Linked DNA regions of Cricetulus griseus. The protein of the gene in region 4 interacts with the protein of the main gene of each other region in a biochemical or structural test. Links are inferred from orthologs where the notes say so. Each region holds a gene or a part of one and is shown on either strand. Other genes may lie near its edges.

The links.
Region 1: the proteins of Esr1 (region 4) and Grip1 form a complex in vitro, tested with the Homo sapiens proteins (2 studies listed by BioGRID and IntAct). The link is inferred for Cricetulus griseus from reciprocal best matches to the Homo sapiens genes ESR1 and GRIP1.
Region 2: the proteins of Esr1 (region 4) and Hdac4 form a complex in vitro, tested with the Homo sapiens proteins (2 studies listed by BioGRID). The link is inferred for Cricetulus griseus from reciprocal best matches to the Homo sapiens genes ESR1 and HDAC4.
Region 3: the proteins of Esr1 (region 4) and Ncoa7 form a complex in vitro, tested with the Homo sapiens proteins (2 studies listed by BioGRID). The link is inferred for Cricetulus griseus from reciprocal best matches to the Homo sapiens genes ESR1 and NCOA7.

What each region holds. Positions count from the first base shown.
Region 1 is NW_023276806.1:137,037,445-137,045,190, forward strand, and holds the start of Grip1 (glutamate receptor-interacting protein 1), read right to left. Parts: upstream 4,274-7,746; coding exon 4,141-4,273; intron 1-4,140. UniProt on the Homo sapiens protein: May play a role as a localized scaffold for the assembly of a multiprotein signaling complex and as mediator of the trafficking of its binding partners at specific subcellular location in neurons.
Region 2 is NC_048595.1:443,655,921-443,663,767, forward strand, and holds the start of Hdac4 (histone deacetylase 4), read right to left. Parts: upstream 4,274-7,847; 5' UTR 4,259-4,273; coding exon 4,233-4,258; intron 899-4,232; exon of another isoform or gene 654-898; intron 1-653. UniProt on the Homo sapiens protein: Responsible for the deacetylation of lysine residues on the N-terminal part of the core histones (H2A, H2B, H3 and H4).
Region 3 is NC_048595.1:249,090,374-249,098,354, forward strand, and holds the start of Ncoa7 (nuclear receptor coactivator 7), read right to left. Parts: upstream 4,274-7,981; 5' UTR 3,957-4,273; intron 3,436-3,956; exon of another isoform or gene 3,304-3,435; intron 1-3,303. UniProt on the Homo sapiens protein: Enhances the transcriptional activities of several nuclear receptors. Involved in the coactivation of different nuclear receptors, such as ESR1, THRB, PPARG and RARA.
Region 4 is NC_048595.1:282,510,289-282,517,480, forward strand, and holds part of Esr1 (estrogen receptor), read left to right. Parts: intron 1-4,088; coding exon 4,089-4,424; intron 4,425-7,192.

The DNA of each region.
Region 1 (7,746 bases), on a different chromosome or scaffold from region 4:
TGCCAGAGCAGGCCTTTTCAAACACATACATTGCTTACTAAAATAAGTCAGCTATGATGCTTTTATGCACCTGCATATACACACACACACACACACACACACACACACACACACACACACCACCTGAGAATTGCAGCTCAGCATAAGCAAATAAAAACAAACAACAAATAAAAATAATTTGTTAATACAAATGATCTTTCTTTGAAACTCTACCCAGTAGCTCTTCTCTTTCTCTAGATTCACTTTGAATGACCTCAGCAGAAAAGGTTAATGTCAATACACATTGCCAGGTACAGTTTTCACACACAGCTTAGCTCCAGAAGAGGTGCCTTAAGATGAGAACCCAGGAGAGTTGTTACCATGGAGGAACCCCGTGGCTAATTCAGTACCATGATGAACCTGCAGAAGGTGCCAGGGCTGTAGTTGGTAAGAGACAAACAGGTATCTCTCTTTCAATAGTTCAGCAAATAGATTGTGGCAAGTTAGGGCTGCTATAACAGCTAAGAACAGTCCAAAGACAATGACTAGATAACACATCTTGAATATTATCCACTGTGGAAAAAAAAAGTGTAACAATAGGATCAGACATTTAAATTTGTATGGCAGATAAAATAAGCATGGCCAGCCAGAGCCTTAAAAAAAATCTTACAATAATCCCATGGGGGGGGGCAGTGAGAATAATTAAACTGAATTTTAGGGTCTAACTCTAGTGGATTGTTACATTTAGATTTATGACAGTTTTGAAATCAACTCAGGTTTTTTTTTAGGGGAAACACTCAATGAATCATCTATGAAAGAATTTCAAGAGAAAATGTTCTTTGGTAGGTGCAATTAAACAGAAGACCTCTAAGAGTTAGCAATACATCGAGAACTCTGCTGGATTATCAAAACTTTCCCAAGTTCCTTAATAGTCAATGATAAATCATGATCTTAAATAAAAGACATACCCATTCCGACAGTTTCCAATCAAAATGAATTCAATAGCTAATTAGACAAGTCCTTCAAGATAGTCAAGTGGATTATTTGGTTTAAATAGCAGATAAAATCCTTTGTTTATTCTTTACCTAAAGTCATTGTGGTATCCATCAGTTCCTCTAGAGGCCAGAACAGAGATCCCAGGTGCTGGAGTCATGGCTGGATGCTGGAGCTGCCTGTCCCCTTCCCAACTACCACTGTCTTTTTCTTCTACATGAACTGATACAAAAATTAAAACATAAAATTATATTTTGTTCTTAGAAACATCCTTAGAAATAAAGATCCCTTGTGTCACATTTTATGAACTAAAACCCGTAAGTGTTTAGTGATTCGCTTAAGGCTCCTGTCTTGTTTGCCTCAACTCCAACTCTAGAATTATAAAAGTAATGATTAAGTGGGAAAGGCAGTTTTTAATAAAACATTTCATTCTGCCTCTTGCACACAGTTGCATACATTGATTCTAAATAATATGCAAGTGTTTTCCTTTAAAAAAAAAAAGTAAAAGAAGTCCATCATTGTTAAAACCCACTTCTGACAGGTTTGCAGAGAAATCACGCATTTCTGGAACTATCTTTATTCCACAGCATCTGACCCTGTTAACAACTTAATTCAGTCTTTAGCATTTAATACAATAACTGAGGAGCATCTAAAATAAAGGAAAAGATGATGAAACTCTCAGTTAGAACCCAGAAAGGAAGAAACATTACTTCGAATAAAACCAAGTAATTGGAACTCCTTAAAACTATGTAAGAGAGGAAAAGAATTGGGGGGAGGGCATATTTTCTGGAAAGCCCTTATTAGCTCTATCTTTCATTATCATATGATCATTTTCTTACAATATGAACTGATAGAAAATCTTCATGGCAGAGTTAAGTTTCACAAAAGGAAATAAAAACACTAGAGACCAAGACTGATGTTTAAAAAAAAATCAATGGCATCATTAAATAAGACATGACTATCATCAATAAATTCTACGATGCTCTCAGCCTTAACATAAATGGAGTTTCTCCCCATGTGATGCGATACATGGGGTATAGATTCCAAGTTATACCAAAGACTAATTAAACAGATACACAGCAGATGTAATTGAATTCAGCCGTACTACCCATTTGAGAAGATTGGCTTTAAGAGTCAGGTTTGCCTGGTACGATTTTCTATAGCAGTTAAATACAAGTGGAATCTCCTCTGTCCAATTCAGGGAGGCCCTGAAACTGGAACCAAAGATGCCCCAGGAGGTCACTGTGCTATGTCACATGCCTTCTGCAAAAGCTTGCGCTATTTAATATTTAATGAAATGCCAAACCCCAGATGTCAGTTCACTGTGACACATTATATTTAAAATGTAGCATTTTGAAGTTCAGGACCCACCAGCCAGCTAAGTCTACAAGTTTTCAACTGAATCGTATAAAGAAAGGGTGCTTCTGAAAAAAAAAAAAATCACTGGATGTAATTTTGATGTGGAAAGGCAAACACTCAGGCTGGTTAGTGTCGTAGCCTTAGAACGTCCTTGGTGACTCTGATAAGGCAGGGTTTCTGAGTTTTTCTCTGAACTTAATGGTAATAACTATTACACCTTCATTATACCATCTTCTTAGTCTATTCTTGGAAAGCACTTTGCCCTGCTGACATATCTTTTTTTTTTCATCGGCAAATTTATTTAAATTAAAAAAAAAACTCAGCAAAACAAGTAGAATGTAGGCATTTGAGAGATTTTGTTTGAGTCAATTTGAACACACATTCATCACAACAGAAATCACAGAGGGTGTGAATTAGACTCGGTGTGTATTGATTGCAAGAAAGTGTTCAAGGAATAGCAGTCCAAGCAATGCTCTTTAAACTCCCCCACCCCAGTCTCTACATTTCAGAATTACTCCTCATGCAAGCTGGCAGTATTTTTTTTAAATGTGCGCCACAAATGTTAGTTCAATTTGAGAATACATCAAGGAAGCTAAATTTAGGAAACATAGACTGTCACTACATTAGAATAGATTATTCAGGAAAAAAGAATTATAACTTGGAAATATCTCTGAAACTCAGAGAACACTCTGTAAAAACATTATAGCAATACCGTTCAGGCAAACACCAAAGAAATATAATTGGCATTATTGTGTTATTGTCACCACATGAGTTTTCAACTCTCAGCTTTCATCAATCACAGCAGGGTTTTTGTCATGTAGAAATAATTCCCATGGCTTTCAGTGCCAAAGAAATTTGGATCTAAATTATTTATTAGCCAATGCTCAAAAGGTATAAATGGAATACATTCATAGCTAGACTTCAAAAGGCCAGAAGGAAAAAAGAAACTGTGCTTCAGGTACAAGTTCATAAAGATTCTTGCTCAAGAAGATAAGAAATAATTTTTAATTTTTAAAATGTAGATCACACATAGCTTTCATCTCCCTCCCCTTCATTTGGGCACATAAGCTCAGTGCTCTTGGCAGGGAGATGTTTTCTCTCCTCGCCCTGAGGCAGTTCCTGGATTTTAAATCTATTGGGTCCTGTCTAAGCCTCACCAGGAACCCTGAGCACTGACAGGTACAAGAAACATTTTAGTTCTCTGCTATTTTAAAGTCAATTTACAAATGTCGCCATGTGGGTATTTTTTTTTAATTCTACAGGTATTGCTGCTGCTAGCTGACAGTAAATGAGACCCCTAACTTAATAACAAAATTATGAACATACATCAACTTCCTCCTACAAACAGCATGTTTCATCACAGGTAACTGTCCAGAAGTCGGAACTGTAGCATTAATCATGAACATCCACTCCAACATAAACAACTACTTTCAAACAAGCCAACCTTTTCTTTCTTGAAAGGATTAAAATATACAGGCACACACAAAAAATTATTGAAAAAAACAATGACAACAACAGAACATATTCTAACCACCTACGAGATAGAACGGCTCCTTCAAATAACAGAATCAATCAATTACATCTACAATATTAACCTCTGTATAGACCCGGGCTGGTAATACTGAGCAGATCGGACGTGGTGGCTATACTCACAACAAACCAAGTACAATGGAGCTAGCACTTCACACAACACCATCTGGTAAATCTTTTGCATCCAAGAGTAAAGAAGCATGCAAGGTTTACTGTCAGCCCCGGCAAGTGAGAAGGACCAGGAGGATGGAGGGGAGGAGGGTGTAGGAGAGCGCTTACTTCGAAAATGCTCAGAAGCATAGTAATACACATCCTCATAGCCCTCCTGGTAATCCTCTTCCGGGCGGTACTTTTTCCCCTTTCTTCTTCTAGACCTCCGAATCTGCTTGACGAATCCCAGGAAGCGGTCCATGACTGGCTCCCGGGGCAGAGCTGCGCAGCCAGCAGCAGAGCGGACAGCCCAGCTGCTCTGCAAGTCGGTGGAGCATGAATGACCCTCAGGAAGCCCTGCTACTGGGACACATTACCCTCCAGCCTTGCTCCCTGTGTCCATCAAAGCCAAGAGTTCAGCCGCAGCAGGGGAAAACATAACAGCGATAAGGGAGTACCTTGGTGAGACTTCTCATTTAGCCCAAGAAACTGTCAGATCTGCTATATTTTTTTTTAAAGGATGGGTGGGGCAGAGAAAGAAAGTGAGATAACAAAAGTAAGATAATACCAATTAAAAACAAACAGCGGAGCTGCGGGCTTCAACTTGCTTCCATACCAAACAAAAGTTCAAGATATTTCATTCAGCTGAAGCAAGAGGCGTCCGGGCACTAAAATGTCACTACCCAACACCTCCATCACCAGGGCGGGTGGGGAAGCTCGCTAGTCACTGGACTGAACCAAAGCTAGGGACAACCGGCTTTCCCCACCAGCAACCTACCCACTTCGATTAACATTCCTTTGCTCAGAGCACAGCTGGCACTTGGGAAACTTCCTAGAAAGCTACAGTTTGGGCAAAGAGAAGGCTGGTTAACTCTTTGGGCTCTTGGTAAGCCACACTAGTGATCTGCGAAGTGGTTTCATCCATATGTACAGCCCTCTTGCTGACTGAGTGTGCTGTATGTGTTAATTGGAGCAGCAGGGAGAAGCCTAGCAGCTGCTTTCAAAGGACACATTTACCCCACTGGGCATTAATGTATTCCAATCGCTGTTTGATCTAAATATTAAAATGTGCTTCTCAGAGCTTCTCACCAGCTTAGTAACAGTGCCCGCCCCACAATCAGCAAATAAAGGAAGCTGCATGGTTTTCAGAAAAGGGGAACACAAATGATTCAACTTTGAGTGCATGCAACTCAAGTATGACACAGGCTGAGCTGTCACACAGCTTAACAATAAAACAAGTGAGTGCAAAAGGGCAAGTGAACCTGAATTCTTAAAGGGAGAAATGTTCTTAAGTGTGTCTATGCCTTGTTTACACTTATCTTTAAAAATCACAAACAACTTTATAAAAACAACAACAAAACCCAAAAAACCTATCAAAAATACTTGAGGCTAAAGGGCAGAAGTCCCTTAGAGACTACATGGGTAAGCACTGATCCTATGTAATCCTCCCCTCTCTAGGCTCTTTCTTCACAAAATCTCCACATGGATGGGGATTTTGAACACCAGGAACAAGCTCTTACTTCACAGTCTTTCATTATGCACGCCAGCATATTACCTAGCAAACTAATGATATTCCACAGACCCTTGTTCCCAGAAATGTAATTTAAAGAAACGTGTCTGACTGAATAATGGTTGTTCAATAACAATATCATAACAAGTTTGCACAACCATCCCAGGGGGTACTGGCTGTACTCACACTACCTGTTGTTAGGTTCAAGAGCAATCTGTCTCTCTCTTCTACAATGAGGCAGGACTGTTTTCAGATAGAGACTGCTCATGATGAAATAGGGACAATTTTATTTAGGAAGTCAAATATTTACCAACCCAGAACATTTTGGCACCGAAGTATGTAGAGTTACATTCAATATTTCCATGCAATTCTCCTGTACTTAGAGGTTTCTCATTTTGTATGCTGGAGGGGAGGGGGATTGTGGCAAGAAATACAAACTTAATGATGCTGAGAAAAAGATACTATAGTTTCTTCAACATCTTTAGACAACAACAAAAACCACTGTTCTTAGGTTCTGAATCCTTTCATTATTATTCTGGCTTCCTCAACCAAAACAAACCAGAACAATTAAAAATAATTAAGCAGAAGCTTGAAGATCTGGAGCCTAGACTTTGAATAACAGCTCAGTAACAACAGCACATGGCCTCTTAAATCAGCCAAAGACCAGGTATACAAGGGTGCTTAGCTCACCATGGAAAGGAACAAAAGGTTCAAATCCATTTCCGTGCCCCAGATTAACAACTGGATACTGTTGGGACAGGGAATAGAACACATTTTTTGCTACTAATTTAGAGATTATCATGCCTAAGAGTCAATTGGAAAAAAAAGAAGTCTTTTCTATGTAATTGTTCTTGAAACAGATGTTTGTTTTTTGTTTTTGTCAACTTGACATAAACTAAAGTCATCTTAAGGAACCTCAATTGAGCAAAAGCCTCAATTAAATCAGACTGCAGGCAAGTCTGGGGGGTGCATTTTCTTAACTAGTGACTGACGTGGGAGGGCCCAACCTATTGTGGACTATCTATCCCTGGGATGGTGGTCTTGGGTGCTATAAGAAAGCACGCTGAACAATCCATGAGGAGGAAGCCAATAAGCAGCACTCCTCCATGGACTCTACATCAGGTCCTGCCTCCACCTTCCTGCCCTGTTTGAGTTTCCATCTTGACTTCCTTTAGTGATCAACAGTCCGAGGAAGTATAAGCTAAACAAACCCTTTCCTCCCCACCTGGCTTTTTATTCATGGTGTTTCATCACTGCAATAGAAATACAATAAGACACAGAGTTTGAAGATTTGGATGCTGATTTTTTTCTTTCTTAATTGAACCAAGCAAATACCCTCATTGACTAATTTGGTAAGTGCACGTACGTGTTCCCCAGAAACAGCGCAGTTACACATTTTATTCTATCTTAAGATAACTACACAGTATCTTAAGTGCATGCTGTGGATTTGTTGTTAAAAGTTTCCCTTCAATCCAGGAATACTGACACACTTGTCAGATGAGGAAGCGATATTTAGTACTGAAGATACCTTTACAAAGGGTAAATTTTCTCAGCGTAGTAAACAACCATCTTTACAGAAGAACCCACACAGACAAGTAAATGTCCACAACCTGTTTGCATACATCTGTGGTTTTCAGAAGTATAGATCACAATTACTCCTTACTTTATTATTTGCTGTGTTTTTTCAAAATAATTACTTCGTGTAATTATGTGTCTATGTCTGTCTGACTCCTCACCCCCGGTGTGTGTGTGTGTGTGTGTGTGTGTGTGTGTGTGTGTGTGTGTGCATGTGAACATCTTTGAAGAGCTAAGAGATGGTTTATTCCCTGAAGCTGGAGTTACAGTCAGTTCTGAGCTGCCCTACATGGGTTCAAGAAACAGAACTATATTGGATGATTTTAGTTGGGAGGTAAAAAACTCAGGAAGTGACTATAATAACATTTTTTAAAAAATGCAATGGTGATGCTAGGGAGGAGTTTGGACTTTCTATTTGGAGGGTTATGGCAGAGAGTGTATCAGTCTTACTAAAGCAAGGAAAACGGAATCTTATATTTAGAGAAAATCTTCTTAAGTCATAGATAATGAATGCACATGACTGCACACCAGTGGATTTGTCATGAAGGAGGAGATACTCACAAGTAAGTGTCTAGATCCACAGGACATGGCAGGAGTGTTTCGTTACTGGTGTTGAACAGAATCCTATCAGTGCTTTAATGAGTTTAGAG
Region 2 (7,847 bases), about 160 Mb from region 4:
ACCATGTCCAGCCTATGTATCCTTTTATTAAGCAAGTCAAGGATTTTCCCCAGCTGCTTGCAACTAATCAGTTCATCATGTCAAGGACAGTCTTCAAATGTGGGCTATTCAAGGTGGTTTCCGGCTTTGCACTATTACCTACACCTATGTAACCCTTATCTTTATGACAACTGATATGCACCCAATAGCACCATGACTTTTATCCATAGGTTCAGAACTTTTACTCCTCTCAGTCAGGACACCACTTCTTTAAAGGGAGGCAGGTGGCACAATCCTGCAAACCCCATTATTCTGGCAACTTTGAAGCCATCTTACACAAAGTCACACACACATCCTGGCTAGGTATAAAAGTCTCAGGCCACACCATCTATCCTGTAATGCTGTTCCCTTGGCACCATGGAATAGCCTAAGGCCAGCTATCCCAGAGTTCTGTCTACATAACCTTTAGGGCTGGGTATTGCTAATGTCATTTTCTTCTGCCTAAATGCTACCATGTCTTTTTCTTTAGTCTGGAAACCGAAAAATACTGTCAGACGGTGTACCGATAAGTGTCTCTTGATTCGTTTTGCTCACAGCAAGACCCTTTGAATACATTTCCATCTTCCTGCTCTGGAAAATGCTCAGTCACCCTTGATTATTTTTATTCAACTCACTCTGGCTTCTTGAGAGATTGTATACTGCTGCTGGACTCTCTCCACAGATCCACCCCTCCTGCCTCAGACGCATCTGCTGTTTATTCTGCACTCCCAGGCGGGGTGGCCTCTCTGGTACATTCTGCACGTGACTGCTGACATCTTCCACAGTATCGGCTTTCTTCATTGTGGTCAGGATGCCATTTAAGTAAACTTTAAACAATGCTCTCCACTACTTCCCTTGCAAACCTTCATTTGGCCTAATTCTCTTTCTGACCACCCCACCCCTTACCCCATGCACCCTCATTTCTTGAGACATGTCTAGCCAATCTTCCAAAAAACTTTCTTCCAAGACAGGAATCATGTTCTGAGGTGTGCTCTTAAATAGTCTGGACACCTTGTTGACAGGCCCCAGATGGGGACTGTGGTTTTTCCTCAAAGAATAGCATCTCAAGACCAGAGCACCACCCAAGCCTACCTTGCCAGGGTTACAGCTCCCACCCAAGGCTTCCAGCAAGCTCTCTAAGCTCCACTGATGGAGAGAAGCCCCTTGTAAGAGAACCCAAGAGTTTTTGTTGTGACACAATATGTTTGTTCTGGGAGAACTCAAACTTGGCAAAAGTGAACACTAGAAATAACAGGGCTTAAAAGAAGAATGAGGTTCATAACTAATACACTACAAAAATGTATAATGAAAACATTACCACAGTTCAAAAAAGACAGTAAATAGTCCTAACAAAAAAGTCTAATAAATGCAGAAATTTAAGATTTAAAAACAGTAACAACAATTTAAACAGGAGGATAAAGAGACAATGCTTTTGAGTTTGGGAATCAAGGACAACTGAGCCCACTCTCACCTGTATCTGCGACCTTCTCAAATTGTCCAGACACTCCACTAAGGGACAGAGCTTGTCAGACATATTAATAAAAAACAGTAATTTTTTTGTACCAAGTAGAAAGAACCACCATGAGGTAGGACTGGAAATGGCCTAGAGACAGAAGGTCACTCATTTTATATAACATCAGTGTTCCCTAAGCAACAGAGGCCCAGCAATGTGCAACCTACACGAACACATTTTCAATACAGACACATGCCACATGACATTCAAGTCAACAACAGACTGCATATAGCAAACACAGGGTGGTCACATTAGAAAGGATCATCATGTGACAATGTGGTCACCTTAGCCTGTGTAATATTCACACAATGGCAATGATGACAAAGCTACACAATACATTCCTTCATAGAGCTGAACTTGGCTATGAAGTCACAAATAAACTAAAGATAGGAAAAGATCTATCACACAAACCGTGCAGGTTAAGCACCACTGCCCAACTGACTCTACTTAGAAAACCCCCAAGAGATGAAAACCCCTCTGTGTGTCTGTGAGGGCCTTTCTAGAAGCACTAAGAGCCACCGTGATATAGGAAGCACCATCCCACAGACTGAGGGACCCAGAAAATGAAAGAGGGAACTGGAAGAGCTAGTCTAACACCAGCAGCCAATCTTTCTGCTTCCTAGCCCACCATGACCTGACCTGTTCTGCTCGGCCACACCCTCCCTACCCTCTTGAAATCATAAACCAACATAAATCTCCCCTCCCTTGTAGCTGTCAAGTATTTGGTCACAACAATGACAAAAGTAACTAACAAACATTAACCAAGAGCAATCTGTGAAGGAGACATTAGCATCAGACAAAATAAACTTTAGGCTCAAGTTATCACATAGGATGCAGAGGCCCAGTTCCTAATGGCAGAAGGATCAGTAAGCTGAGGAGTAAATGAAAACCACACTTTACACTAGAAACAAAACTAAGAAAAGCATGAAGGAAATGGGCACATCGACCATTACAGCTAGGATCTCAATGCTTATTCTTAGGAACTGTCACAAAAGCAGGCAGAAAACTAGCAGAATACTAGAAAACACACACACACTCACCACACACACACTCACTCACTCACACACACACACATACACACTCACACACACACACACACACACACACACACACACACACACACACAGCCCTCAAGGTGACTCAGTGACATTTACACAACACTCACTATACAAAAGCAGTGGAAGCACCTTCTTAACACACAGAGCAAGCACTGAAACAGAACACCTTTAGGCCCATTAAAACAAGTACCATTAAGTTTAAAAGGACTCAAGTCACATAAAATAAACTTATCTTACTAAACTGGAATTAATTTAAAAATCAGTAACAACAGAAAAGTATCTTTAACCCAAAGTATTTGCAAACTAAATAATACATTTCAGTTCGCCACACACCTGTGATCCCAGCATTTGGAAAGTAGAGGCAAGAGAATCAGCAGTTCAAGGCCATCCTCAACTACACAGAGTCTGAGACCAGCCTGGGCTACACGGAACCCTGTCTCAAAATAAACAACAACAACAAAAAAGGAAAATAAATGAACAACAACAAAACACTTCACAAATGAAGAATTGGAAGGCACTTTGCAATGAATGAAAACAGCAACACAAGATATCAAAATATGAAATGTCCAGCACTGAATCCCCATGTTAGAAAAGACACTCTTGATTCAGTGATGGCAGTCTTTACTTCAAGAAATTAGACAAGAGCAAACCAAACTCCAAAGAAACAACAAAGAGACAACAGCAAAGAGTAGAAATCAATTGCATGAAAAAAAAATGGAAAGAAAGAAGAAGGCCAAGCAAAGTGGGGGACACCTGTAACCCAGTCATTCAGGAGGCTGAGGAAGGAAGACAGCAAACTCAAGACTGTACTATACAGTGAGCAGTGTACAGTACAGGAACAAAGAGAGAAAGAAAGGGGTAAATCAATGTGATTGCAAAGCTTTAGGCAGTCGATGATGAAATGCTATCAAGAAGAGGGGATGAACTACAGACTAAACAGTAAAAGGACAAAAGATAGCATCATAGACAACTTTATGCCAAGGACTTACATAAAATCAACAAGAGCCTTGAAAGACCTAAATGTCAATTATTTGGAAGGACAGACACATAACAGGGGGTATCTTCTGGATCTCAGATACATCAAGAGGGCCCATCTGCAACTGTTGCCATGGGGGGGGGGGGGTGTTTGCCTGATGGTGGCACTTGGCTTCCTTCTCTTATACATGTTAGTTCAAATTCAACGCTGAGGGGTCCTTATCTTTGCATTTGGTCACTTGCATTAATGAAGACAGATGAAAATTTCTTCTTTGCAGTATGCTAATAATCCAATGTTATCAACTTTCTCTGGCTTATTCACTTGACTCTGTCTACTGGAGCTCCATTAAATCAGCTGCTCATGCTTTCCTGATGTTTTCCATCTTTTCTGTTAAGCATTTGTTTACATCAACTCAGTACTGACGCCTTAGGTCCCAAGCTAACTAACCACTGCAAGATTTCTGCTAGTCACCCTTTCCTCACTTTTAACACCTTTCTCTAACAGTGAGAAACCTGGCTTCTACAATATACAATATATTGGTTATGTTCTTATACACTCATAAGTAGTTTCAAAAGCCCTACACATGACAAACAAGCTCATGAGGAGACAGCACTGGGCACTCAACACTGCTTCTGTCCTCGGTCTTCCAAGGCTCACCCAACCTTACCCAGGCACTCTTCCAGAGCTGCCCATGCATCACTTCAGGACGTGGGCTGTGCTTCTGCAGAAAGAGGCTTTGATGCCAGGGTGTATGTTCCATTTGGGGTTTCTCCATTCTGATGGGTCTAAACTGTTTATCATCTCCATATGTGATGACTAAGAAATAAAAACATGGGCTGATCTTAGTGGTGTTCACCTTTAATCCCAGCACATAGGAGGCAGAGGGAGATAGATCTCTGCGAGTTAGAGGCCAGTCTGGTCCGCATAGCCAGTTCCAGGCCAGCCTGAGCTACATAGTGAGACCCTGTAAACAAACAAGCAAGCAAATAAATAAATAAAATACAAGTTTAGTAGAAAAAATATCTATAAAGGTAATTTTAAATTTAAGTTTCTTGTGGTTTCTGCATAGGTCTCTCTTGCTGAAGGGAAGGTTTCACGTTATGGAACCTGATGCAAACACAACGCAAAGCAAATAGTACAACAAACCCAAGACACCAACTTCAATCATTATGAACACTCTGCCATTCTTGCTTCATCCACATCTCCTTCTCCACACACTGAATGCACAAAAACTAACTGTAAATTTTTGCAGGTAGGTGCAGCTACAATCTATTATGAGTTTGTTGGCTTGGGTTTTTATTGTTGTTTGTTAATGCACTGCCAAAAGCATGATGAAAATCAGCTTCAGTGCCATCTACTCAGAGCTCTGCTACCAGAAAAAAGGTTTTCAGAAGATGTCACCTTCCATGTGAGAGAGGCAGAGCCTATGGGGTCCTGGTCAGAGAAGAATTTAGTAGGGTCTGGAACAGGCTGCTATGATAGCACAAGATGGCTGAGTGCTATCTCTAGAGCTGGAAATCCTGCCTTCCATTAAATCACACACCAGCCTCTGGAGTTCCTTCTTGGCCAAAAGACAGTCCCTAGTGCTACCGCAGACTATTTCAGAGCCAGGCTGGGCCAGGGCCCATGATCCTAAGAGAAAGACAAAAAAAAAAAAAAAAAAAAAAAAAAAAAAAAAAAAAAAAAAAATCTGGATACAGAAGTAGAAGACTAAAGATGACTAGAAATGAGCAGACCGATGAACCAAGCCATTCATCACAGGTATGGGAAAACAGACCAAGGTAGGTCAGAAGACAGTTAGCATATAGGCCCGCTGGCCCAGGGTGCTCCAGGCACCACACAAATGAAAAGATCTGTCTGTAAGAGCCAGAGAGAAGGTAAGTAACTTTGATTTATGGGTACCTTGGCCATCCTGTTAACTGCAGTCTGAGACTGGGTACAAACTTCTACAAAGACATCTCTTGCTGCATTTCTCCTCGGGCTCTATACAGAATAAGTAGCATGATGGCTTCGTGTGCTAGTTTACCTGGGTTCCTCACACCTGCAACTTGGAAATTCTGAAATCCTAGTTGGCTTGACTTCATATGATGTAAAAGCCCTTCCAATGAGCAAGTCTTAGAAGCTATAAATCTTTAAGAGGATTTCTTTTAAAAATCTTTATGACGCTCCAAAAAGAGGTGTGAGCAGAGAGGGCATGTTCTGTCCCTTACCACACTCTGTGGCTGGTGGAGTAGCAGCAGTCAGTTAGTGACACCATCAAGCAAGAAATGACAAGACTGCAGAGTAACAAACGCAGATCATCTACACAACACAGCAGGTGTCACACTCACCTCTGCCAAACAACGCCATCTCCTGAGACCCTCACCAGAGCAATATGACACGAAAAAGAACTGGAAGGGTGATATCATCATCTATACACAGTATACATATGCACAGAAAACCCAGAACAATCAACCAAGAACTATTAAAATGTCTACATTAACATAAGGTTGTAAAGTAAGATGGGCAATATACTTAAGTGTTTCTATACACCAGGGACAAAAAGAAAATAACTCTGAGAAAACATTTATGATACCATCAGATTATCAGCAAATATCAAGGGCTAAATACATCAAAAAATGTAAAGCTTTATTGGAAATTGTCAGTATATAATAAGCAAAATTCAAAGATTTAAATAAAACAATATTCTATGTATATGGATTTAAAGACCTAACAATGGCGCAGACACTGACATTCCCAATTAATTGGTAGTCTATGCAATCACAATAAAAATTAAAATTAAGTTGGGTGGTGGTAGCAACCTGGCATACAAAGCAAGTTCCAAGACTGTTACACAGAGAAACCCTGTCTCAAAAAAGAAAAATTAAAATTGTGATTTTTGTAAATTGACATGTCAATATTGTATTTTACGAAGAAACACGAAGGACCTGGAAGACTTACATTCTCAATTATATTATATTGATTTATTAAAAACAAGAAAAGAACATAATATTCTAGAATGAAACCAATACACGCAAGGTCATCTGTTAATAGTTAAGAGCCCACCCTAAATCCCAAGGTTTCAGTCTTTCTGAATATAATGCTTGGGTCATGCATGACCTCCTAGCAACCCATCATGAAAACAGGAGATGGGTTACAGACCCAGTCCAAAAGACCACAAAAACCAGTATTTTCATATAGTTAGAGAAATCTCCTTGGACCATAAAGCGAAAAAGGAAAAAGAAAAATTTCAATTTATCCAGACTCAGAAAATAGAGAAGACAGCCAAACAGCAGGAAAAGCAGCCTGCCACAGAACACTCAACAAGAGACTGACACCCAAAAACGCACAAGTGATCCATACAAATACGAAGAGTTTACAACCCCCAGTTTATGGGGGGAGGGGGAGAATGGGTGAATGGTAAGAGCAAGTGTCTCACAAAGAGTTTATGAGCAGTCAATCGACACACAAACAGGTGTCCACATCTGTGACAACAGGAAGATGAAAACTAAAGCTACAACAGGGTGAGACTAACTCATCAAAATATCTAAAATTTCTATGCAAAGAAGCACCAAGTATTAGTGAGGACAAGGTAAAAACCAGAGCTCTCACACTCAACCTTGAGAATGACGAACCCAAGCACCCAGGAAACAAATAACTGAGTGGTAGGAAATAACACAACACACACAAACCCTGTGTCCCACTAAAGCCATTCCAGGACAGACCCAACCTGTTCTCTAGCCCTGCCCATGAAGACAGACAAGTGGAATGGGGATGTGGCTCAGTTGACAGACTGCTAGCCTATCGTGAACACAGCCACGGACTTGATCTCCAACACTATATAAACTGGTGTGATGGTACAATCCTACAATCCCCGCACTGGAAAGGTACAAGCAAGACGACCAGAAGTTCAAAGTCATCCCTCAGCTACATCGTGACTTTGAGGCTACATGAGACTAAAAAAAAAATTGCAATTAAAAAACAAGGACATAGCAGCATTATCCGTGATAACCCACAACTGGAAACCTTCCAGATGTTGGTCATATTGTAGAATGCTCTACTGCAAGAATAAAAATGTACCTTCACACAGCCACAGACAGATCAACTTTACAATGCTAAGCAGAAGCAGGCGGATACACATGGTTCGTACTTGGCAAGGCCATGAATATAAAACGTGTAAACGGGTAATGCTGCTCTAAAGCCTTAGGGTACCCTGGAGAGCAGTGTGGAACCATAAGGGAGAACAAGGGAGGGAGTTAAGAGCTGGTGACTGTTCTCATCTATGTGAAAGCAGGCAAGGGCA
Region 3 (7,981 bases), about 33 Mb from region 4:
TCTTTCTTGTTTTTGTCTTTTCACAGAGACAGGGTTTCTCTGTGTAGCCCTGCCTGGCCTAGTACTTGCTCTGCAGACCAGGCTGGCCCCGAACCTCTGTCTCCTGAGAGCTGAGATAAAAGGCATGTGCCACCACTGACTGGCCAATCTTATCCATTTTAAAGACAATCTGCACCCTCTCACGTGTGCAGAAACAATCTCATGTCATGCACCTCGTGAGGGGGACAGATACAATACTCTTCTTCACCCTTCATTCCCCGTTATCTGAGATTAAAGATTACACAAATTTACCTCTGTAGAGTCGCCCCACAATCCTAGCTATTTTGATTGTAGTGTATGTGAATTGAGAGCATTCTGTTTAATTTAAAAAGAAAATTGGGGGTAAGATTTAAGAAATACACATTTAACAAAGGACAGACAGGTTTCTAAAATGATAGCAGGAGCCTGGAATTGTGGCACACACCTTTAATCCCAGCACTCGGGAGGTAGAGGGAGGCGGATCTCTGTGAGTTCCAAGTCAGCCTGGTCTACAAAGAGAGCTCTAGGACACTCAAGGCGGTTTTACAGAGAAACCCTGTCTTGAAACAAAACAAAACAAACAAACAAACAAAAAACAAACCAAACAAATGAAATGACAGCAGGAGAAAGATACAGAAAGGTTACAAAAAGAAGAAGAAGAAGAAGAAGAAGAAGAAGAAGAAGAAGAAGAAGAAGAAGAAGAAGAAGAAGAAAAGAAATCCAGACTTAGAATTGCATTGCTGGCAGGGAGGCAGGGTTGTAGCTGGCGCTTGAGGCAAGAACCAACATGTGAGTCATCACATTGTAGAGATACCACATTTGCATGCAGGACATAAGAGAAAAAAAAAATTCCTTCTGCAATGAAGAAAAAGCTCTTGCATAAAGTTATAGAACATTATGAAAATGTTCAAGTTCTACTTGTTGACGGAACAAAATAACTAACTGTCCAGAAGTTAAAACATGAGATGGTTGGGGCGGGGGTAGGTAGCAACAGCAGTGGCTTAGGATCTGGGTTTGATTCCCAACACCTACATGGTGGCTCACCACCTTAACTCCAGTCTCAGGAGACCTGACGCCCTCTTCTGCCCTCTGCAGGTACTGCATGCACATGGTGCACAGACACAACTGCAGGCAAGATGCCCACCCCCTACAAATATAAATCAATAATTTTAAAAGAAGCAAAAGGTGTATTTTAACCACAGGTTCTTTTACAAAGTAGAAGGTGAGCAAGGAAAAACAATGCAAATGAATTGCTCAATATCCTTGATTATAAATAAGACTCTAAAAATGGCTTTATATTAATTGGTATGGCAACTGCTTTGTTTTCATAAATTATAACAACTTATATCCACAAGTTCTCTTCCCATGATTTCCTCAGTTCTCATACCTTTTATCTAAAAGTTTTCCTTCACACATTTGAAACAATCTGACTAGATTAGAGAAGAAACAGTAATATATTATGCTTTAGCATGTTGTGTGAAAATCAGGATTCTGGGAAATATTCTGGGTAGTGAGGAAGAAGATGCATGAAAATTAGGAGGTATTCCCTGTCAGATAAATGTGCTAAGGAGAATGACTCAGTGGATCTATGTGACAGAAAAACAAAGACATATCAATACTTTCATAGAGTGTAAGTAAAGGAAATGGAAGGTAATAGACTTGTCCCTATGTCCATTTTGGTCCTTTCTGTTATTTTTTTCTTTATTTTTTTCTACTAAAATAACATTTTAAGCAGAAAAGGCACTGGATCTTCCAAACATCTCATCTTATAGAGGAAAATAGCTAAAATGTTCTTCTAGGGCTGAGGATGCAGCTCAAACAGGACCAGCCTAACACACTGAAGCCATGGGCCTGATCTTGGATCTGGTACCTGGCATCACAAGAAGAAAAAAATCAAATCTTTATGTATATAATATGAGTGAGGTCACTTTGCAACCATAGACTCTTAAATGTTTTGTTTTCACTTTAGTTTTAATAAAAACATTAAAAATGAACCATAGCTGAACCTTAAAACAAGTTGTTACTTATTAACCAGATCACTACTCCTTTTGGAATTGACTTAAGAATTTTCTTTAAACATGAATTCTGCTTTCTAAATTGTTTTTGAAAGTATAACTGAAAGAGAATTGATTGCCATAATACTGGAAAATGGGCACAAAGTGAACCTAAAAGAAGAACAAATGCCTTCCTTGCTGCTAAAGCCACAAATGTCAATGAAAAATAACAGAGTTTGCCTGTTTATAGAAAGAAATAACAAATAACCAACAGCTATTAGGCATCCAAAGGAGGGGAATTACAGAATGGGGGGAAAAAGAAGATTCTGTCTCCTTACTATTTATATTAATTCAGTTCACCAAAATCTCTAGTCTGAAATCCTGGCTGTACAATTGGAGTTTACAATGATCCATTTTCCCAAAATTCTAAACCTTTTATTTAGTGTAAAATGAAAAACGGCAGCCTAAGAGGAAACAAACATACTAAAAGCCCTAATGTAGGAATTTTACTTCTAGAACAGAAGGGGGTCAAAGACTGAACCAGTTTTCAGAAAGGCAAAGGTCAGCTCTGAGTTGGAAGCGAGGCTGGCGGCAAGACTGCCTCTGCTGGTTGACAAGCGCATCTTTCAGAGTCTCAGCTCCCCACACCTGTATCAAACTTGAGCTCTCAAACCCATCGGCTCCCGTCTGGTTTATCCTAACAGAACACACTGGCCTCATCCATCACCTGAGTGATCTGACTTCTAGAAGAACCTTCCTTAAACTGGCATCCAAAATAAAGTGTTTGCACCACTGATTTTATATACCACATGACGAGCTGTAAAATACACAAATATCCACAACCACTCCTAAATACCTCTAAAACAACACCGTTGCTCGTCTACATTTTAGCAAAAGAGATAGGAGGAACAAATTAGCTGATCCCGCTTTTTAAAAAATGCAATGACATAGTCTACTCCAGCTAGTAAAAAGGCAACGGCCTCCTCCCCAAGGAAGCCGCGCGCCAACCTGTCCTTCCAAGCACCCCCACGCCCTACCCCGAGGGTCCCCAGAATGTTGGCGGGAAGGGTCCAGCGCCCCTGCGCCCCTGCGCCCCAGCTCGGTCTCGACTGTTCCAGCAAAGCGTTTCAGGTCTCCCGGGGGCTGCGCTCAACGCCATTAGCACACCTCGGTGTGCTGGCAGCCCAGGAGGGAGGCAAGTTTGGGGCTGCCGGTGGCGGTGCCGGTTCTCCTTGGCCGCAGCATCAGCAGCGGGTGGCCTCCAAGGCCGGGCCCCGCCTCGGCCACCTACCTACTGGGCGGGGGCTCCGCGGCTCGGGGCGAAGTGGCTCGGGCGCACGCATTTCTGGGAGCGGTGGCCTCTGCTGCTGGGCGCGGGGAGCGCATCCTCCGGGGTGGGAGGAGGGGAGGGGACGGCGGTGGGGAGCGGGGGGGGGGGCGGAATCGTGTGCCGAGGAGGAGCCAAGGGAGGCGACAGGAGCGGCGGGGTGCGCTCCTGCGGGGTCCCCAAGTCCCGGATCTGCCCGGAGCTGCCACCGCCGGGATGCTCGAGGCCTCGCCCAGGTGCCTGCAGCGGCGCCCACCGTCAGGCACCGGCCGCGCTCCGGGCGGAAGGCGGGGAGCTGCGGTGGCGCGACGCCCGCCCGGCGCCCGCCTCTAGCTCCGCCCGACTCGGGGCGCGCGCTGCGCTCGTCCGCTGAGGCGGGGGCCCGAGAGCTCCGCGGCCAGGCTAAGCGGTTCGGGCTGCAGCCACGGCATCTTGCCTGCCCGGTGTGACCTCGGGGCGGCAGGCGGAACAGTCCGAAGTGGCGCGGGTTCCCCAGCACCCGGCCCGGCGGCTCCGCCCCGGAGAGCTGCGCGCGCGGCCTCCGCAGGCCTGGGCCCTTTGTGACGCTGCCCGGGGCGACCATCAGGCCATATGTGTACCGGGAACCGTCTGCTTACCTGGCCCCTAATCGCATCCCCTCTAGCTACGGTCTGGATCTTGGAGGGAAATGAAGCTTAGGGGTACAGCAGGAGTTAGAGCACCTGCTGGAGTCTTAAAATCCCTTTACTTTCCCTTCCAGCTCTAGGACCACGGGCCACCATAAATTCATCCTTCTGTCTTTTCCGGCATTGCCTTTGGCAACCGGGCCTACTATCTTCTCCCTCTCCGGTCCCCGGTTCAACATCCTGTAAGCTGCCAAATTGCAATCATTATAGCCAAAGCAATGTAGCAATTGGGCGGTCCAGCCAGCTCTTGGCTGAGACTGGAGAGAAGAAGCTCGTTAGGAAGGTTTTTGCATCAGCCCAGGGAGCTGTGCCTGTGAGATCCCTCCCTGGTATTGGATGCCGCTCCCTTTACAGTCCCGTGACGAGCACCGCAAGATGACTCGGAGGATCTGACTGTGAAGATCACTCTTAAATACAGGAAGAAAAAAAAAAAAAAAAAGCTGCAGCTGGTATGATAAGATTGGTGTGTCCGAAGCCATCCACACAGTACATAGCGGCCTCCCCAGGTTGCCGCTGCTGCTTCTTGGTGCTTCTAGTCCTGAGAGCGGAGCAAAGCACTGAACCATAGTGACTTTAGGATTTCAGCTGCAGTGATGTTAGATTGTCTTGCAAATATGGAATCATCTCCTGGTTTGCACTGACCATCAGGAGATTATGACTTCGGGTTTACATCATTATGGTCTGAGTAGGAGAGACCTCTCCTTTTCCTTTAGTCACCTTATTGGTAAAATGACTTAGCCTTTAGCAGGAGAAAAATGGATTCCTAAAATATAGAGATGCTTCTGCGTGGATCAAAAGAAAAGCATGGCTTGAGGTCTCCAGAAGTTTGGTAGTGGTCTCACAATTCTTTGATATGTGCTATTATGGTTTTGAAATCTAAGCTTAATTTTTAAAAATCCAAGAAAACGCACACACACACACACACACACACACACACACACACACAGAAAGAGAGAGAGAGAGAGAGAGAGAGAGAGAGGTGGCATAGTCCTGTAATCCCAGCTCTTGGGGGGGGGCTGAGTTAGGAAAATACAGAATTCAAGGCCAACCTCAGCTACTAACCTAGGCTATATGTTTCCAAAAGCAAAATATAAATTTAAAAAGAAAGGAAAAACATCATGTCAAGTCCAAGTTGTTATAAGATAGCTGAGATTTGGGGAGGGGAGAGTTAGCATCTTGGAGGTCAGAGTGGAACAGGGCAGTGTCTGAGCTGTATTGTCCTGGGTGGGCAGGGGTCACATGATTCAACCCTGTTCTGAGAATGGCTGATGAATCTAAAGCCCCACATAAGTGATAGATATAATGGTTCTGCTATTTTGCCCCAATTCAGAATGACCCCACTGCAGGGATGAAGACATGCATAGTGATGTTAGAGAAAGTTCGGGAAATCACTTGGAAGAAGTACTTGCAGTTTGCTTAACAAAGTGTCCAAATCTTGAGTGCAGTTTCTGCAGAAAATCTTCACTGAGCTCCAGGTACTGTTTCCCCTCTTTTAACCCCTTTTGTGTCCATGAACTCTTAGCTTTGTAGAGGAATAAAGTAAGCCTTGATTTCTTTTCTCTTAGGCAAAGGTATAACTGAGTGTGTGTTTGAAGTGGTGACTATTGCTGAAGAAGTGTTCCTCAGCCTTTCAAAAGCATGGCAGATAATGTTACTATCTTCACTAGCTCCTCTGGGATTACATGAAGTCTCACATGCTAACTATAGTTTGTCACTACAGTGGATGTCTGAATAGAGCAAGGAGTTCCATCTTCCATGGTTGGGGGGCCGCTCCTAATTTAAAGATTATTCATCATTCTTTTTCATTACCAGGCATTGACTGATTCATCTGAGTCTTGTCTTCACAGAGAAATTAAAATTAAGATTCTCTTCATCTGTGTTATCCAGCGTGGTACCCGGCAGCCCTGTGTGGTCATTTAAATTTAATCAAATACAGTTAAGTTATGATTGTTCCGTCTATATGTCATACTTCAAGTTCTAAGCATCCAACTAAAGCTTGTGGTTGCTGTTTGGATAGCACAGGCCACAGCATTATAGGAAATTCCTTATTATAGGAAATTCTTCTGGAATTCTTGTCAAATTTCAATTGGTAGATAAGAGTTGCATAAAAGGATTGAGGTAATCTGAGTACCCCTAGATCAAATACCATTAGAATATATAGTGAAGACCATGAGAATCCTAAAGAATGCACAGTTAGCCTTTGGACTACAGCTTCGACATGTGCTGGCCTTGGACAAATGATTAACTCTGGTGCTTTTGTCTCCAAAGAGGGGATGGTCAGAGCAACATAGTCATAGGGTAAATATAAGGAATGGGATCACCATGAAGGGTACGTGGAGTTATGTAATCAACACACATCAGCTGTCACTGGAGCAAGCATGTGTTACTGTAATAAAGGTTTTCTTTTCAAACCCTGTATCCCCAGACTGGACACTGTGGCCAATTTCTGTAAACCCAAAATTTAAGGAGGTAGAGGCCGGGGGGGGGGGTTGTCAGCTCTAGGCAAGCCTACTATGCATAATAAAATCCTATCTCTAATTAATAAGGTTAATTAATTAGTAAAATTTAATTTATTAATTAAAATACACTGGTCTCCATAGTGCCTCTCATTGTATCTGGCTAGCAGAAAGTGCTTGGAAAGTGATGAACTGTGTGCGGGGGCAAGAGCCTGGGATAAATATAAAGACTGCCTCTTCTTTCTCTGATAAATGGGAGAAGTGACAGTGCAGCAATTTAAGTGCACTTGTCATGTCCCTTTTTCTGTGACCAATAATCTTTATATATTGAGACTTTTAAGTAAATAGAGGATCAGGGAGCTCTTTGAGCCTAAAAGGGAGGAGGGAGGAGGGAGTCACTTCACTTGTTCTGCCCTACAGACAGACAGGCACGAATACCACAAATGAATGAGAAATTAATTAGGCTCAGATAGGCTCACTGAAATGTTGACATGGATCTATATTTCTGTGCAAAGGTGTTTGAGCTGAAATTCATGCACTGGATGAAAAGCTGAGGTTACTGCCACCAAGAAAGCTCTCTCTTGGAGTGATAGGATTTAGAACTATCCTCCTATATCTAGCTCAGGGAGAGATGCATGCTTACATGTGCTCTCACCCTGGACTTGAGCTGGTTGACACAGGCTGTAAGTGACATCAATGACAACTGTGAACATCTGTAGGTGGTCCTCTTCTTCTAAAGAGGTCAAAGAAAACAGAATTAGCAGGGTTGAAGGCAGCAGCTCATTTTCACAAGCTGGGATCATTGGTCTACCCAATAGACTCTATTGGGTCACGAAGATGCCATGTTGATTTTGAGAAAACTTAAGAGAAGTCAGATGTGGCACCATATACCTGTAATCCCAGCACTGGGGAACCTGAGGCAGTAAGATGCCAAGGGTCCATAGGCTTGGTCATATTGTTTGTGCATGCTCAATTTTATAAGAAACTACCAAACTATTTTCCATGGCTCTGTATCATTTTATAGTCTTATCAATATGTATATGTTATGAAAGATAGATGTGAATCTATTGAATAAATGTATTAAAATAGGTGATATCTTTTTTTTGCTATAATTTTTTGCTGTAATTTCTTGGCTACTTAACTGCCACCTCAAGTTGAGCTATAATATTGGCAATCCAGGGCTGGAGAGATGGCTCAGCAGTTGAGAATACTTCTTGCTCTTCCAAAGGACCTGAGTTTGGTTCCCAGCATCCAAATGAAATGAATAATCAGAGGAAGGGAGGTCTTTACAAAAGGATAGTGAAACTAAGTGGTCACAGTTTTGCAAACACAACAGCAAATAATTGATTCAGGACAGTATCATCCACAAGCTGAAAACACAGGCATCACAGTCTCAAACGGTCAATTCCCCTAGCTGTAGTTGCTGTTCCAATATTTATTAATGACATCTGTAATTACAACACACAGTTATGTCAGACACCCTCACCAAGTGATTAAGCTTACCATTTACACTTCTCTTAG
Region 4 (7,192 bases):
ATGCATTTGCGAAAAATTCACCCAAAGCTAGGAACACTGACAAACTTGGGCCAGTCCCTGATACAACAGTTCAGCAGCCTCGAGAATTTGACTGAGCTGCCTTGGGAACATGGGACCACACTGCATTTCAAGTAGTAGTTCAGCATTCTGTAGCATCTCCAAGCTAGAACTCTATTTATGTGACAAAGTTAACTAGTGCTCTGTGTGTGTGTGTGTGTGTGTGTGTGTGTGTGTGTGTGTGTGTGTGTTGGAATGCAGGTATATGTGCATGTGCACCACATATGTTTCTGGTGTTTGCAGAAGCCAGAAGAGGGTTCCATACTCTCTAGAATTGGAGTTAGGGTCGGTTGTGACCTGCCATGTGGGAGTAGGGAACCAAATTTAAGTCCTCTTCAAGAGGGCAGCCAGTGCTCTTAACAGCTGAGCCGTTTCTTGAGATCCTGGTAAATGTTTTTTTTTAATTAATAAAAATAATCTCAAAGGCTTCCAAACTTAGCTGAAGAGCTGTGGAGATCTCAAATAAAGAGCTTTCTGTGCAAACATGGGGAGTTAGGTTGGGATCCTAAGCACTACGGAATAGCCAGGTGATGTTATGCACACCTGTAACCATAGCACTGAGAGGCAGAGACAGGAGGGTCCCTGAGATAACCCTGAGAGGTGGAGACAGCAGGGTCTCTGGGTTAGCACTGAGAGATGGAAACAGGTGGGTCCCTGGGTTAGACCTGGGGAGATGGAGACAGTAGGGTCCTTGGGTTTGCTTGCCAGCCAAGGTAGGTGAATGAATAAGTTCTAGGTCTAGTGAGAAGGTCTGACTTGAAAACTAAGGTGGAGCATGACTGGGCACACTTGACATTGACCTCAAGCCTCCATGTGGACATACACACTCATGCACTTGCCCATGTACACATGTGTTCACACACAGAAACATCAACATGCTCACACACAAAGTTGTCTGGTGAGTGAAAACTGTACATACATGACAAGAACCATGCACTATTTCAATAAATGGTGTAATATTCACATCAGGGCAATCATCTCCATTTTCTCATAGACTGATCATTTCTCTTTACTGGTTATCTTTTTTTTAAAGCTTTTTTTAGTAATACACAATTGGTTATCATTATCTGGTCACTGCACTTTGCAAAATAACACTGGAATTTATTTCTCCTGTGTGACTGAAAATGAAGCTTAGCCAAATTTACTCTAAGCTTCTCTCACTTTCATTCCTCCTGGCTTCTTAGGATAGGCATTCTGCTCTCAGTGTCTGGACAGCTATTTTGTTTATCCATTTATTTATTTATTTATTTATTTATTTATTTATCCATTCAGCTATTTATTTGTTCACTTATTTTTTGTTTTACATCCCAACTGCAGTTTTCCCTTCCTCCTTTCCTCCTAGTCCTCCCCACCACCTCCCTTCACAGGGTTATTTTATATTACACACGAGTATCTGTTCACCTAACATACTATCTTTCAGCTCTACCCAATTTTTTTTGCCAATGACAGAATATCACTTCTTTTTAATGGCTGAACAGTTTTCTGTGGTGTATATGTACCACATTTTCTTCTTTCATTCATCAGTTTATGGACACTTGCATTGCCTCTCTTTCTTGGGGTACTGTGAACAATGTTGTAATAAACATGGCCATACGAATGTCTCTTCAACATATTGAGTTGGTTTTCTCTGGACATATGGCTGGGAATGAAATTGCTGGGTGAAATAGTAGTTCTATATTTTTAATTTAAAAAGAAAAATTTTTTAAGAATTATTTATATTATGCATATGGATGATTTGTGTGCATGTATGTCCGTACATCATATATATGTCTGGTACCATGGAGGTCAAAAAAGGCATTGGGTCTCCTAAAACTGGAGTTACAGGCAACTATGAGCCACAATGGAGGTCTCTGAGCCAAACCCTGGTCCTCTGTGAGAGCAGCAAGTGTTCTCAGATGCTGAGTCATCTCTCCAGCTCTTCAACTTTTTAAAAAGGAAACTATCTACTATTATTATAGCGAGTGTAGACTTACCACCAGGCAAAGGCATCCTATCATTGAGTTTCTCCATATTCTCATCAATGTTTCTTGTCTTTTGTCTGTTTTATACTTGTCATTCTAACTGGAGTGAGATGGCTTCTCATGGATTTGATTTGCGTTTGTCCCATTTTAGTGATGCTGAACATTTTTTTTTTGGTATCAAATGTTTTACATATGTACACAGCCAACATAAGATCAAAATATACTTTATTCTGGACCTCTTTCAGATCTGATTCAAATTACCGTTGTCAAAGCAATGCAATGCAAAGGGGGAAACTGCAACAACACACACATAAAAAATGTGCCTGGAAAGGGTCAAAAGGTCATTGGGGACAAATCACCATGATGTGGAACCAAAATACATAGCAAGTGTCATTGACATGGTCCAGGAGAGACAGACATCTGTATCAGTCTTCCTTACACAGTCATCATGAAAACTGAACAATAAAGTTCTTTAACGTGTACAAAAACTGTCATGGGCTGGTTTACACTTTACAACAGCTTTAAGGTTACTGGGGAACTAAAGAAAGGATGCAGACATCATCACCCAGTGCTAAGGTATGCTCACAGAATTAGACCCAAAGGATTTCCAAACCCAAATGAAAACATTCTACATAGTGACAATGTCAAAGTCGGGAGACAAAACCATTTCTGTATTTAAGGATGGCAGAGATACACAATGAAGTGTGTAATGAGATGAAAAAGTACACCAGACACAACATGCAGAATGTTTCCTCCAACTTATCCAGAAATTCCAAAGAAAACATGTAACTGCTTGCTAGGTGTTAAAAAAAAAAAAAGCCTAATTATTCACCCGGCTCCAACATGGTCACAGAAGAGCAAAAATAAAGAATGCTATGGACACCTCAGAACTGCTAGAGAAGACATCAGATTCTAAATGAGTGGATTAAAAATGTGAGCACTCCCTTTTTCCCCCTCTTCTACATTCAACTAGAGTCATGTGTTAAACAACTGGTATTAAATGTGACAGACACTTCAGAGCTATTACCGGAAGGAGTAGTTCACATGGTCCCTCTTGCTGACTTCAAACAAAAGGAGGGAATCAAAAACAAACAGAAAACCACCCCCTGGGTCTCTGTAGGCTGGCTGCTAGCCCCCAAATGCTGGCTTTTGCTGGTGTGCCATGATGTTGGTCCACGGAGGCAGGATTTCTGCAGCAACTGTGCCAGTACCACTCTTAACTCGTGGGAATCCAGCTTTTGTGGAAATGATGCTGAACATTTGGCATACTTATTTCTTTTAACCATTATGTCTTTGTTTGAGAAGTATCTCCTTTGGTTGGCTGGCCATTTCTGATTGCATTATTGCTGCTTGAGTTAATTTTTGTGTGTTGATGATTGTTAAATCAGTGTTTCTCTTGGGATTCGGTCATTGGTAGGTCTTACTCCATCATGGTGCTCTACTCCTTCACTACTAAAATTACTGTCAATTTGCTATTAAAGAGTGTCTACAACAGATGCAGTATTTGATATTAAGCTATATTTCATGAGTAACTAACTAATTATTATAATTTTGTTATTTTTATAGCATTTATTGTACACACAGACACATGAACACTTATACACGTATACATACACACATATACACACGTACAAACATGCACAAAAACACATATACACACATATATATATACATACATACAGATACACACATACACAGATACATACATATATGACACACATATACATAAACACACACACATACAATACTAGTGTGTCAGAAACAACTACTATTGGCTCATAAAATCACATTGTTATATTTTCAGGAGTTTGTGTATCTCTAAATATCAGACAAGTGACTTGAAATTTGTTACACTGACATTATTTATCAAATGAATATCATCAATGCCACAAATCAGTGCTGTTCTCTTTTGCCATTTGGAGTGAGAGTTATTAAACACTAGTTTGCATGAGCCTTCCGTATTTATTTTAATAAAATAAAGGGCTATTATCTTTGAAGATGGTGTTTGTACTGAAGTTGACGGGAGAAAAGGGTAATTGAATTTGTTCTTTTATCCTTCTGCATTTTCAGGGATACGAAAAGACCGGAGAGGAGGGAGGATGCTGAAACACAAGCGCCAGAGAGATGACTTGGAAGGCAGAAACGAAATGGGGCCTTCAGGAGACATGAGGGCCGCCAACCTTTGGCCAAGTCCTCTTGTGATTAAGCACACTAAGAAGAACAGCCCTGCCTTGTCCTTGACAGCTGACCAAATGGTCAGTGCCTTGTTGGATGCTGAACCGCCCTTAATCTATTCTGAATATGATCCTTCTAGACCTTTCAGTGAAGCTTCGATGATGGGATTATTGACCAACCTGGCAGACAGGGAGTTGGTTCATATGATCAACTGGGCAAAGAGAGTGCCAGGTAAGAACGCAAAACTCAACGTCTGTTTTAAGAGTGAATGACTCAAGAACTGGCTGTGATACTGTGTGGGGAGGGGAGAAAATAACAGCGTGCGATGTGGTTGGTGTCAGTGCTACATCGGGGCTTGCCAATTGTCAGTGTTAACCCACTGTATTTCTCTTGAAACTTGAGAGTAGCCTTTAAAATCAACACCAAGAACAATAAAGCCTTCGACATAGTATTTCTGGCCAGTTTTCTCTGCTCAGAAGAGTTGGATAGATACTACATACTGCATGCACACATGTGTCTGTCATGCAGAAATCACATTTTAAAAGTGCTTAATGCTCAGTGATCTATGGAATTGTTTTGATTTCTAAGACTATCATTGAAAATGCCTCTATTGAGGAGAATTTTTCCCATAAATAATCTATTCTTCAGATGTTGTGCACTAAAGGGCTAATAATAGGCTTATTTGTGGAATGCCAATTATTTATTCATTTTGCTTTATGCATCCTATGTTCAGAGAAAAGGAAATACAATAGGAAAATAAACACAAGCAATGCCCTGAGGAGCTGCTAGAAAGATCCAGAGGCTGAAGTGACACTCTGTTCATCCTATTGGTCTCTCAAGTGCTGTTTCTAAAGCTCTTGACTGGTCTCCTTTATGGAGAAGGACTCTAGTTATGATGGGAACAAGCCTCTCCCATGCCCCAACTAATGGATTTCGTATACAGAAGCCTAGGCTGAGGCAAAAAGAGGTGGACTCTCTTGTATGGCTTATAGATCAAATCAATGTGAGATTTAAATTGAGCTTTTTTTCTCCCTGGGCTTCAATAGATGAAGTTATTTTTTTGTGACACGTGAGATTTTTTTTTCTTTTTTATAATACTAAAATATATATGGAGTTTTGGGCTTCCATTTCCAGAGTTGTTGACATAGGCTGAGTTAACATGAATCTGAGAATCCTACATGTATTTGTGTAAATCCATGTAAAAACAAGTTGTGCTTTGAGTAAGGAGCTAGCTATGCAATGAGCCAACTTACTACAGGGCATCTATCTAAGTGGATTGGGTAGGAGAGATCAGAGTATATGAATGAATAAGATTGACAGAGAAAGTTTAAGTTTTGAGGAAAATACTAACAAGCAAGCAAATATCCTGGCCATCCAAGGAACTGAAGGTTTTATTGAATGCCTAGATATTCTATCATTGTTTTGTGAGATAGACACAAGCACTTCAGGATTGGAATTATGCATGTTTTTCCTTGAACTTTATGTCTGTTTTGTCTTATTTTCACACTTTGAGAGAAAAGAAAAATGAAATGCACAAAAAATTTAATGACCATACCCCCGAGAGCCCATCTTGGTTGCTGTTAAATTTTTATTAATCTATAAACATATCCCCTATGAGAGTGTAGCAATAGTAGTCCCAGATCCACACAGCAGTGCTGAAAACAAGTATATATTATTCATTTTTATCTGTAGAGTCCCCTCTCAACATGTGGTATTTTATTAGCGGTGGTGTTTTAAGTCAGGGTCTTGCTGTGTAGCTCAGGCAGGCCTGCAACTTGCTTTCCTGTTCCAGCCTCAGGAAGTTCAAATGTAATACCCATTGATGAAAGATTTGTGAAAATAACCTTAATTTAGGATTAAAATAGAGACAAAAGTCAAGCTTAGGAAGATACTGTGGTCAGGTTTAACTGTTCCATTGTTAAACTCAGAACTAGACATGTGCATGGTAATAAAATACCTAGCAAGGCTACTCTCAAACTTCTTTGTGCTTAATTCAAGGGTCCAAAATATAGTCAAACTATATTTTGTTGACTGGCCTTTTATAAAAATGGACTTTAAAAGCAAATGCAGATATGTATAGTCATGTGCTATGTAACATTTTTTGCTTAGGATGATGGTAGGTCTGCATGTTGTACAGAATAGAAGGAGGGCAGGCTGTTTACTTTATAGAAAATAACAAATCCACCCAGGGATCTAGTTCTCTGATGTGCCCCTGTCATCAAGAGACTGACACAAGGCTGTGTGTGTGTGTGTGTGTGTGTGTGTGTGTGTGTGTGTGTGTGTGTGTGTGTGTGCACGTGTGTGTGTATCTGTGTGCCACTGGAATGCAGTTACTATGAGTCAAATGCCTACTTATCCGAGGAAACAGAATGATAATGGTCATTGATTTAAAAAGAGTGAGAGAAAAAAAAGTATATCAAAGACCTTCAGGAGGAACTCTGAAGATGACTGCGAAAGTTTGCAAAGAAAGTTGTGTTTCACAATGGCTTTATATACCTAAATACTGTGTGTCATTTAAAAAGATAGTCTAAAGTAAAGATCTGGTATAGGTAATGTCACATTTATGAGGTGATAATTTGAGAATAATAATGGTAATTTCAAAAAGAGAATGAGAAACATCGTCAGGAAGAACAATAGCAAGGAAACCATTGTGTGGAATGAGAGGTGCGATATGAATTTGAAAGAGAAAAAGGAGGGGTATAGGGAGGGTTTGGAGGGAGGAAAGGGGGTGATGTAATAATCTCACAAAAAGAGAGAGACAATTAAGAAATATATATAAACAGAGGTAGAGGAAAAACATTTCAGTAAAAACAAAAACAAAAAACAAAAAACAGAAGTGAATGACTACCAGTGTAACAGTGTGAACAGACTTCATTTTGAATGATGGATTTTTAATAAATATAATTAATACTTTGGGTTATTTAATTTTTTATAATAGAATATTGTTAGAATTCTCAAGTTAATTCTCAGTTTTATTCTCAAGAATAAAAATTGAATCT